Linked DNA regions of Sus scrofa. The protein of the gene in region 1 purifies or fractionates together with the protein of each later gene. This does not show direct contact. Links are inferred from orthologs where the notes say so. Each region holds a gene or a part of one and is shown on either strand. Other genes may lie near its edges.

Evidence for each region.
Region 2: the proteins of WDR82 (region 1) and PPP1CC purify together in Homo sapiens (affinity purification with mass spectrometry; 5 studies listed by BioGRID and IntAct, with this or other methods). This does not show direct contact. The link is inferred for Sus scrofa from reciprocal best matches to the Homo sapiens genes WDR82 and PPP1CC.
Region 3: the proteins of WDR82 (region 1) and CXXC1 purify together in Homo sapiens (affinity purification with western blotting; 7 studies listed by BioGRID and IntAct, with this or other methods). This does not show direct contact. The link is inferred for Sus scrofa from reciprocal best matches to the Homo sapiens genes WDR82 and CXXC1.

What each region holds. Positions count from the first base shown.
Region 1 is NC_010455.5:34,409,388-34,413,136, reverse strand, and holds the start of WDR82 (WD repeat-containing protein 82), read left to right. Parts: upstream 1-946; 5' UTR 947-1,269; coding exon 1,270-1,430; intron 1,431-3,749. UniProt on the Homo sapiens protein: Regulatory component of the SET1/COMPASS complex implicated in the tethering of this complex to transcriptional start sites of active genes.
Region 2 is NC_010456.5:32,074,230-32,077,878, reverse strand, and holds part of PPP1CC (serine/threonine-protein phosphatase PP1-gamma catalytic subunit), read left to right. Parts: intron 1-3,077; coding exon 3,078-3,182; intron 3,183-3,649. UniProt on the Homo sapiens protein: Protein phosphatase that associates with over 200 regulatory proteins to form highly specific holoenzymes which dephosphorylate hundreds of biological targets.
Region 3 is NC_010443.5:99,933,959-99,937,240, reverse strand, and holds the end of CXXC1 (CXXC-type zinc finger protein 1), read left to right. Parts: coding exon 1-43; intron 44-211; coding exon 212-319; intron 320-451; coding exon 452-636; intron 637-941; coding exon 942-1,149; intron 1,150-1,228; coding exon 1,229-1,339; intron 1,340-1,467; coding exon 1,468-1,517; intron 1,518-1,659; coding exon 1,660-1,756; intron 1,757-2,069; coding exon 2,070-2,222; intron 2,223-2,304; coding exon 2,305-2,451; 3' UTR 2,452-2,748; downstream 2,749-3,282. UniProt on the Homo sapiens protein: Transcriptional activator that exhibits a unique DNA binding specificity for CpG unmethylated motifs with a preference for CpGG.

The DNA.
Region 1 (3,749 bases):
AAAAAATTCAGCCAAATGAAAAAAATTCATCCACAAAATTTATGCAGTCTAGGAGTTCCCGTCGTGGTGCAGCGGAAACGAATCCGACTAGGAACCATGCGGGTTCGATCCCTGGCCTTGCTCATTGGGTTAAGGATCCGATATTGCCGCGAGCTCTGGTGTAGGTCACAGACTCAGCTTGGATCTGGCATTGCTGTGGCTGTGGCGTAGGCCGGAGGCTACAGCTCTGATTAGACCCGTAGCCTGGGAACCTCCATTGGCATGGGTGTGGCCCTAAAAGGACAAAAGACAAAAGACAAAAAAAAAAAAAAAAAATTATGCAGTCTACCGTGTAGTACACCTCAATTTAAAAAGAACGGGAGTTCCCCTCGTGGCTCAGTGGTTGACTAATCCGACTACGAACCATGAGGTTGCTGGTTCAATCCCTGGCCTCTCTCAGTGGAGTAAGGATCCCACAATGCCCTGAGCTATAGTGTAGGTCACAGAGTGGCTCGCATCTGGTGTTGCTGTAGCTGTGGTGCAGGCCGGGAGCTGTAGCTCTGATTCAACCCCTAGCCTGGGACCTTCCATACGCCCCGGGTGTGGCCCTAAAAAGACAAAAAAAAACAAAAAACCAAAAACCCACGAAAACAAGAACAAGCCTCCTGGGGGATAGCCCAAGGGGCAGTATTTGCTCTCACTCGCCCTTTGGTGGGGGAGGCCTACAGGGGGCGCCCCAGTGTCGGCGGCGGGTTGCGATTCAGCACAAAGGCTCTTGCCTCACGGGCACCAGAGACCTTGGGGCTCCGGTGGGAAGGACTTGGGAGTCCCCACCCATCCCGCCCAGCAGCAGTTCCGGGAACCGTCGCCTCCGGCCACCCCGCCACCCAGCCACCCAGCCACACCACTCTCTCTGCCGGCCGCGCTGACGTCACCGCCTCGCCTCGCGCCGCCGTTCTCGCCCCGCCCCCTTTCCCGTCTTGCGCCGCGGTGAGGCTCCTCGCCCTCGGCTTCTGCCTGTCGCCCCAAGATGGCGGACACAATGAGCCGGTGCCGCGCTTGTTGGTCCTGAGGTGATTGTGAGGGGGAACGGTCGGCAAGGCTCCACAGTTCAGACAGAAGAGTGTTGCCCGAGAAGGCGGAGGAAGAGGAGTAGGTGGCCCGACTGTCGCCCGCACTCCCTCTGGCCGCCAGCGCAGCGCCGGTCCTGCCCCGGTCGGCCCCTCGGCAGCCCGCCCGCCCGCCGGGCCCCGCCCCGGCCTTGCGCCGCCGCCTCTAGCAGCCGCCGCCATGAAGCTGACCGACAGCGTGTTGCGGAGCTTCCGCGTCGCCAAGGTGTTCCGCGAGAACTCGGACAAGATTAACTGCTTCGACTTCAGCCCTAACGGCGAGACAGTCATCTCGAGCAGCGACGACGACTCCATCGTGCTCTATGACTGCCAGGAGGGCAAGTGAGTGCGGCGGTGGCCTTGGGCTCGGGTCTGAGTCCCTCCCGCCATCCCCGTCTAGGCCCAGTGCTAGTCCGGAGGCCCGCCCTCCGCCCGGCCCCCTGCCTGTTTTGCACACGCTCCTGCCAGGACCGCGTCCACTCCGAAACTGTCCAGGAGACCTTTTTCTTTCTTTAGAAAATAAGGATAGCAATAATAATAATAATAATCGTATTTATTTTCCCCGCCCCCGACCTTCTCAGCGAGCGCTTTTGCAGCGCTGGCCGAACCCCACCTTGACCTTGACCTTTAAACGCCCGGTCCGCCCACCGCGGCCTCAGCTGGTAGCTTTTCCGCCCCTCCGACTCCCTCGAAGGTGCCGGTTTGCTGTGGCCCCCGCGCGGAACTGCAGAGGTTGCTCTGCTGCCTCATTCAGCAGCGGCAGCTCCCTCTCTCTGCCCTTTCCATGGTGACCTCGATTCAGGCCTGGCACTCCGCCCATCCCCTGCCCCTCAGCTTCCCGCCGCCTTTCTGCCTGAAGGCCGCGTGGGTTGCAGTTGTTAGCTGTCAGGATTTATTTGTTGTGCCTCTTTGGGCCCTCTTTCTTTTCCTTTCTGTTCCAAATAGTTCTCTTACTCCCTCAGTGCCGAAGCCTACGTTTATAGTTAACTTTTTAACAACATCTGAAACTTTTCCTTTTTGCCAGACACGTACAAACTTGGCGGTCCAGTCCTGACCTGAATGTGAACCTCCCAGTAGAACAAAGAAAGCATCGTCTAACAATTTCATGTTTCCTCTTAACACTTTCTTTTAAAGTTACACTTTATGGTCTACTTGGACTTAGCAAAATTCCTAGTTAGACCATGACATTTGTAGGTTGTCCCAAGTCCTCTGGAGACTCATCACACCTGTATCTCTGCAAAATCTTGAAAGCACCGCATTTTGCTTTTTTCCCTGTGCACCTGTCCGCTTTGCCTCACGCATGTAGTCCTTGCTAAATTGTGAGTTCCTTTGGAGTAGAAGCTGGTTTAGGTAGGCTAAATTTGATTTCCCTTCAGCCATCTTCCCCAAGCAGGCTTGTGGATGTTTGGTTTTAAAGCAGGCTACTGGTTTTCTCAGACTTCATTTTGCTATCTAGTTCCAGATCTTATTTTTTGAATCCTTGAGTTTTTCTCTGTTCCTTTTGTCTTTTTTATTTTTGTTTAAACTGATGTCTTCTATAAATTTTTGGAACTTGTTTCTTCACTTGTGAATTAAAGCTGTATGGCGCTGAGCTATAATTTCTCCCCCTTATAACTTTCCTGCTGGTATTGTGAAAAAGTCTTATGTTACTGGCTTCAGGATCTGCCTGAAGTATGTGGAAGAGGGTCCTATAGTGGTGGTTCTGAGAAAAGGGTTGTTATTGTTAGCTGGACCGATGCTGAGTGATTCAAGTCAATGTTACTCATTTCTGTCCAAATCTGGCCACTTACAGCAGCCTGGAAGAGAGAGTAACCTATAAAGCTGGGGATTGGAGTTTTGGAGTCCTGGAGCTGGAAGTAATTTGAAGTTGACTTGCTTGAAATGTTTAGTGCTTGTGCACAGATTAGAACCTCTCCTTGGAACCTGGAGATAGAGATGTATACCTACCTCATTTAAAGGAAATGAAGATGGTGATAGCATTTCTTCACAGTATGTCTCCAAATATGGCATATTTTCCACTGATTGGTTGTAGAAATGACATCGACTTGAAGTGTTGTCTTGTTAAAAGTAAAATGTTAATTTTATAAATAATACAGTTCATTCATTCAGGTAGCATTTTACATAATTACAAACTTACAGAAAAGTTACCATATTGTTTCAGAGACCTCCCACTTGATCCAATAATTGGTTACATTTTGCCCCATTTGTTTTGTCATTATCCATGTGAATGTTTGTTTATATGTGTGTGTCTATATATGCATTTTTGTCTGAATCATCAGTAATATGGAGGTATTAAGGCTCTTTATCCCTCAACACTTCAACATGAATTTACTAAGCACAAGAACATTTTCTTAGGTAACCAGAGTACAGTTATCCAAATTAGGGAATTTGGTATTTATACAGTAGTATACAGTATGCTCTTTAAAAGTTGTATGGATTAATTGTGACCTGTTTCATGTGGTCTGTGGTAAGAGAGTGGCTTGATAAGAGACCTGGGTTCTAGTTTTGCTTTGTGACCAGGTAGGTGTATGACGTAGATTAGATCAATTCTCTGGCCCTTAGGAAGAAAAGTAATGTTTTATTGGAAAGCATAATATCAATATCATATCATAATCAACCTCTAATATCAATAATATCAATATCAACCTCTAATAAAAGAGG
Region 2 (3,649 bases), on another chromosome or scaffold:
AATGATGCAGAAGGTCAGCATTGATTGGTGTCAATTTTGGCTCTTGTCCTCAAGACTGATATAATGACCTTGTACTCCAGCTTTCCCCTCTCTCATCAGGCAAGTATAATTTGCCACTCAGTCTGTTTGGGCCTAGAAGTGTCCTTGATATAGGTGGCTTTCAGTTGATAGTTTGCCAACTTTTTAAAAAAACCATTGGTAATTTTATTGTATTTGGAAATTTTATTCAAATGTAAATTTCCGTGGAACTTTTTTTTTTTTTTTTTTTTTTTTTAAAGGTTGCATCCTTAGCACGTGGAGGTTCCCAGGCTAGCGGTCGTATTGGAGCTGCAGCTGCTGGCCACAGCTACAGCAATGCCAGATCCGAGCCACATTTGCAATCTACACCACAGCTCATGGCAGCACTGGATCCTTAACCACTGAGCGAGGCCAGGGATCAAACCCGTATCCTCGTAGATACTAGTTGGATTTGTTTCTGCTGTGCCATGAGAACTCCTCAGTGGAACAATTTTAAAACCACTGCTTAACATAATAGACTCATTTCCTAAGTATAACAAGCACCCTCTGTGCCTTTTTTTTCCCCCTCCATCAGCTTTTTGACTGCAGTCCTAGAGAGGTATCTGTTGTTAGATAAAATGTGGGTTGTTATCCCTTTTTTATAACCAGAGCTGTCTGGTCTATAGAAATAGGAAACTGCATTAGGGGTTCTGGCTCAGAACCCAGCGATTTGAAAGCTTGATGAGACCTTGGCAATTATCCAGGAATCCTTCTTGAGCCAGATGCTCCTAGTGGTCTGAAGTGACCTTAGGGAGGAAGTGTAGAGAGGAGAGAAAGCAGGGGCCCAGGACTCAGTTAAGATGCTCAGAGACAACAGGAGGAAGAATCTTTTGATGGAGAAGCTGAGTGCAGTGTGTAACAGAGAAATCAAGAAGGAAAGCAGACCTTAAGAAGGAAGAGAATTTGTCGGCACTGGCAAATGCTGCATTTGAGCAAAGGAAAAATCCAGGAGAGCCATTGGATGGTTTTTCAGAGATAGGCTTCAGTAGAAAATGGAGAAAGAACCACATCACTTTTTTTTTTTTTTTCTGGTCACATCACTTTTATAATAAGGGTTAAGACAGCCCAGCCCTGTTCTTACTTTATTATCATTATTGGAAATTAGAGGTGGTATTTGTGCAGAGGTTCCCCTTCAGGCTTTTGTACAAAGGAATTCTGTTAACGCTTCCAGAACCCTCCAGTGAAGGAAGTATGGGACAGAGAGAATTAGTGCCTTGCAAAGAAATACAGAACAGTGTGAACCTTGGGTGTAGGGTTTTACCCAGATACAGAGAAAAAGAGACTGAGAGCCAAATCTCAGTTTAGGAATAAGATTGTGCTTTGACCTTTGGTGTCTTTTATTGTGGAGGGTATAGGAGACAAAGGCACCCCAGCAATGGAGACATCCCCAACCAATTCAGATAGATATGTACTTCCAGGGTTTATGAGTAGGTTTTTAATGCGGAACATAATTCTATGGAAACAGTGCCATAAGGGCATGCATAATTTGAATCACTCAGTGACTTAAGAATGCATAGGGTACATGGATTAGTGAGGGGAATATAACCACCCTATAAGATCTTTTCTAAGCGTTTGTGTAGCATGTTAGGGATATATCCTGTTGTGCCTGTGATAAGCAGTTTGTATTCCCCTGTATGCACTGTGCTTCCTACAAGAATATGGGGCATGGCTGGGGGGTACTGGGAGTTTCCTGAGAGTGATGTTGCTGAAACTCCGCCTCTGTCTACCAGTGGCCAATAGAAACATGGAGATAAAAGTTTGGGGTGAAGGAGAAAAAGAGCTTTTATTGCTTTGCCAGGCAAAGGAGGCCACAGCAGGCTAATTCCTTAAAGACTGTGCCCTACACTGGGAAGAATTGCGGGGGGGCGGGGGGGTATGTTAAAAAAGAGGAGAACAGGTTTTCAGCTACAGATCAGGATTGGAGCAGACATGCATTCTTCTTTCTTTGTGGGAATTGTAGTCATCAAAGCTGACGTCTGGAGTTCCTGTCATGGCTCAGAGGTAATGAACCCACTAGTATCCAGGAGGACGCAGGTTCCCTGGCCTCACTTGGTGGGTTAAGTATTGGGTGTTGCTGTGGCTGTGGTGCCTGCAGCTCCGATTTGACCCCTAGCCTGGGAACGTCCATGTGCCATGGGTGTGGCCCTTTTAAAAAAAAAAAAAAACCTGACATCAGGAGATAGATCTCTGCACTATCATGATGGTAGTCTTCTGGGTTATTGCCTAGAGTAATAGTACTTGCAAAATAGTATATTAATCAGAGATTAGAACAATCTAGGAAAGTTCCTGGAAAACATGTGCTAATAATCTTTAACCCACAGGCAATTGTGCTCAGGGTGCTTAATCTTTAGATTATGGGTGATTGTGTTTAGGGTACAATTAAGCCAGGGAGGAGGACAAGGAAATAGTCTTGGCTGTTCAATTTTAAGGTATTCATCTTTGAAAGAAGCACAAGGAATATAGTTTTTCTCTTAGGTGAATAAAGATGTCTGCTTTGTTATGTATATCCCTTGAGAGGGAACCAGGATCCTGCCCCAAGGCTGTACAGTCGTTTCTTGACTGTTCCTCCTTGTCTTTGCATCCCCTTCCTTTCCTAATTAGCCGCTATCTGAACCTGTCCCCAGGAGCTTGAGAGGCTCTGGAGGCTGAATGAGGCCCGTTTTCTAAAAACAAGAAATGGGGGACACAGAAAGGCTTTTGTGCCCAGGAGCCCCACAAGGCCCTGCTCAGTTACAGTGGTGGGAGCTGGGATGGGTGTTAACTCTCAGAGGCTTCTTCAGAAGGATTATAATGGCAAGTGTGTGAGTTGCTTTTAATTGCCTTTAGAAATAGGAACCTACCTGTGGGTTGAGATTGGACAAAACAGACTAGATTTCATAGTTGGTCCTAATTCTCTTTTTTAATAAAAGCATAGTTTTTGTTTACTTAAGGTAGTCAGAACCTTGCCTGGGGGGAATTTTCCTTAGATAATGTACCCACAGAACACCAGTCTCTTTTTAACCATCCCCAAATTTTCACAGGTAAAAGAAGATATAACATTAAACTATGGAAAACTTTCACAGACTGCTTTAACTGTTTACCGATAGCAGCCATCGTGGATGAGAAAATATTCTGCTGTCATGGAGGTATGTGGGCTGGTTTTAATTCCACAAAGGTTTTCATGTGAAGGGCATACACTTTACATTTACAAGTTGTCTTTGGAATGATTTCCTCTGTCAGGTTAACTCTCCTTTATTAATGTATTACACCATGGGTCCACTCTGGCATGTCCAGGATAATTTGGATACAAGTCTGGAGTAAGCAATTGACTTGTTACAGGGAGTTCAAGGCTCTGTAATAGTTTGATTTGAAAACAGCGCTGAAAGCATTTTTGAATATAAAATAAACAATATGCTATGCCATGGATCCTCTAAAATACTGAAAATGTGGATAGACTTTCCCTTGGTGTGTTTTTGATCCTCTTTTCAGAAATTTTTCTTAAATAACAGTTACTTTGCTCAGTGGTTGTCCTATGTATGATTAATTATAATAATTGCAAAGAGGATTTCTTTTCATCTGTGGTCAGAAATTAGACAACCATTAAAGAGTCACA
Region 3 (3,282 bases), on another chromosome or scaffold:
GTACCAGGACTTCTGTGCAGGGGCCTTTGATGACCATGGCCTGGTGAGCAGGCAGAGCGTCCCATGGTGGAAGGGTAGAGGTTACAGAAGCAGAGAATGTCCATAATGAGGAGAGAGGAGGCAGAGGGTATGGAAAGCTGATTTGGGGACCGAGTGGGTGGTGGGGAAGTTAGGAGTGGAGCAGGCGAATCAGTGCCTGCCTCACTTGCAGCCCTGGATGAGTGACACGGAGGAGTCCCCATTCCTGGACCCCGCGCTTCGGAAGAGGGCCGTGAAAGTGAAGCATGTGAAGCGTCGGGAGAAAAAGTCTGACAAGAAGGTGATGGAGGCAATGGAATTGGGGTGGGGAGGGAGGCCGAGAACCAGGAAGCGGGGTGGGTGGGGGTGTAGGGGGAGACAGGACCTGGGGTTGACTTCAGCTCTGCCCTGACCCGACCAGTCTTCTCCACAGAAAGAAGAAAGATACAAGCGGCATCGGCAGAAGCAGAAGCACAAGGACAAATGGAAACACCCTGAGCGCGCTGATGCCAAGGACCCAGCATCGCTACCGCAGTGCCTGGGGCCTGGCTGTGTGCGCCCTGCCCAGCCCGGCTCCAAGTATTGCTCAGACGACTGTGGCATGAAGCTGGCAGCCAAGTGAGTCATTCCTGGAGGGCTTAGGGGGTCAGCGAGCACAGAGTAGGGCATGACCAGAGCCCCCTTTATGCCGACCAGTCAGTCACCTCACCTGGCCACCTGCCACCATTCAGTCAACCAGGCACCCACCTGTCCATCCAGTGACTTACCCATCCATCCATTTGCTCATCCACCCAGCTATCTCCCATTCAGTCACCCATTTACTTGTCCCTTCCCCATTGCATCACCCACCCATTGGGTGTCCACTTCCTCACCTTGTCGCTGGCCTTCTCCCCTGCCTGCACCGATGCTCTGCCTCCCTGCAGCCGCATCTATGAGATCCTCCCCCAGCGCATCCAGCAGTGGCAGCAGAGCCCCTGCATAGCTGAGGAGCATGGCAAGAAGCTGCTTGAGCGCATTCGCCGGGAGCAGCAGAGCGCCCGCACCCGCCTTCAGGAGATGGAGCGCCGATTCCATGAGCTTGAGGCCATTATCCTGCGTGCCAAGCAGCAGGCTGTGCGTGAAGATGAGGAGGTAAGCAAGCACGGGCACAGCAGCTCGGGGCCTGGTACCAGGTCCTGCCTGGCCTCACCGTCCCTTCTCCCCGGTGCAGAGCAATGAGGGTGACAGTGATGACACAGACCTGCAGATCTTCTGCGTCTCTTGCGGGCACCCCATCAACCCACGAGTTGCCTTGCGCCACATGGAGCGCTGCTATGCCAAGGTCAGGGTGTCGGCCTGAGGGGGCGGACGGTGTGGGGACAGCATTGGGTCCCTGGGGACAGATGTGCCGTCTCGCAGGGGCACACGGCATACATCCACAGTTCCCTCCGTTTGTGCTCACCCCTCCAGTATGAGAGCCAGACGTCCTTTGGGTCCATGTACCCCACACGCATCGAGGGGTAAGTGTGGGCGCTGCTGGAGGGTGGGGCTTGGAGCAGGGGGTGTTAGGGCTGGGGTCAGAAGTGGAACGTTGTGGGGCTTGGGCAAGGAGGTTGTGCCCCCTCTGCTCCCACAATTCCCTTCTCTGCTCCACACCACCAGGGCCACCCGCCTCTTCTGTGACGTCTATAATCCTCAAAGCAAGACGTACTGTAAGCGGCTCCAAGTGCTGTGCCCTGAGCACTCACGGGACCCCAAAGTAAGGGTTTCTCTCAACTCTCCCATCTGCTTCTTCCTCCCTCCCTCCCTGCCCCATAGTCACCCCTTCCTCGCCCTCCTTCCTTCCCTGTAGCCTGCCTCCCCACTCACAGCTCCCTGTCCTCTTCACCCTCATTCCTCTCCTCTGCCTGTTGCATCACCTCCTATTCCTCCCTTTATCCTGCCTCTTCATCCTTGTCCTCCCCTTTGCATTCCTTCCCACCTTCCCCCGAACTCACCACTCCCTCTTCCTCCTCCCTGACCACTCCCCACTCCTGCCTCCTTCCCACCTCCCCACCCCCATCTCCCCGCAGGTGCCAGCTGATGAGGTATGTGGTTGTCCCCTGGTTCGGGACGTCTTTGAGCTCACAGGTGACTTCTGCCGCCTGCCCAAGCGCCAGTGCAACCGCCACTACTGCTGGGAGAAGCTGCGGCGGGCCGAGGTGGACCTGGAGCGCGTGCGTGTGGTAGGTTCTGATGCTGGTTGTGGCCAGGGTCAGGCAGAGGTCACCAGAGCCCCTTCTCACGGCTCCTTCTGCTCCCCGGCAGTGGTATAAGCTAGACGAGCTGTTTGAGCAGGAACGTAATGTACGCACAGCGATGACCAACCGAGCAGGCTTGCTGGCCCTGATGCTACACCAAACCATCCAGCATGACCCGCTCACAACCGACCTGCGCTCCAGTGCCGACCGCTGAGCCCCAGTGGCCCAGATGTCCTCTTTCCCTGCACTCCTGGCGGGAAGGGCCCTGGATCCTCGTTTGTCTGTTCTGCCATTCATGTTTCTCCGGTGGCCCCTGAGTTTCTCCTGGTGCACATCCACCGTCTGACTGCCTGTTTGCCCTCACCACAGGGCCTCGGAATTTTCTCACGTTCTTGTGTATCCCTCTGTTTCTCCATTCTCTGTGCCTGGGAGGGACTGTGGAGTCTGCTCACCCTGGCCTCCCCCAATTCTGGTTTTGTTAATAAAATTTTGATGAACCAAGAAAGTCAACTACTGATGGTCTCCAAGCTTTATTTAGTTGCAGCTGCGTTCCCACGCCCCTGGAGTAGAGTGGCACACTGGGACTCAGGAGGGGCTGCAGTACAGGTATAGGCTGTAAGTATCTGGTTGCCACCCACTCCGGTCTGCAGGCCCCCCTTGGGCCGTGGGGATATGACCTGCTGAGGGAGAGCCCAATGACCTGTATTCTCAGCCTGTCATTGTGGGACAATGTGTATACAGTTGGCGCTCATAACATGTATGATTGATTTATCATTCCTGTGTAAACAGGAATGTTCTTTTGTTTGTTTTGTTTTGTTTTGTTTTTAGGGCTGCACTAACGGCTTATGGAAGTTCCGAGGCTAGGGGTCTAATCGAGCTGCAGCTGCCAACCTACACCACAACCACAGCAACCTGATCCTTAACCCACTGAGGCGGGGCCAGGGATTGCACCCGCCTCCTCATGGATACTAGTCAGGTTTATTAATCACTGAGCCACAGGGGGATCCCCCAGGAATATTCTTGTTTACTCCAATTAATATTTTCC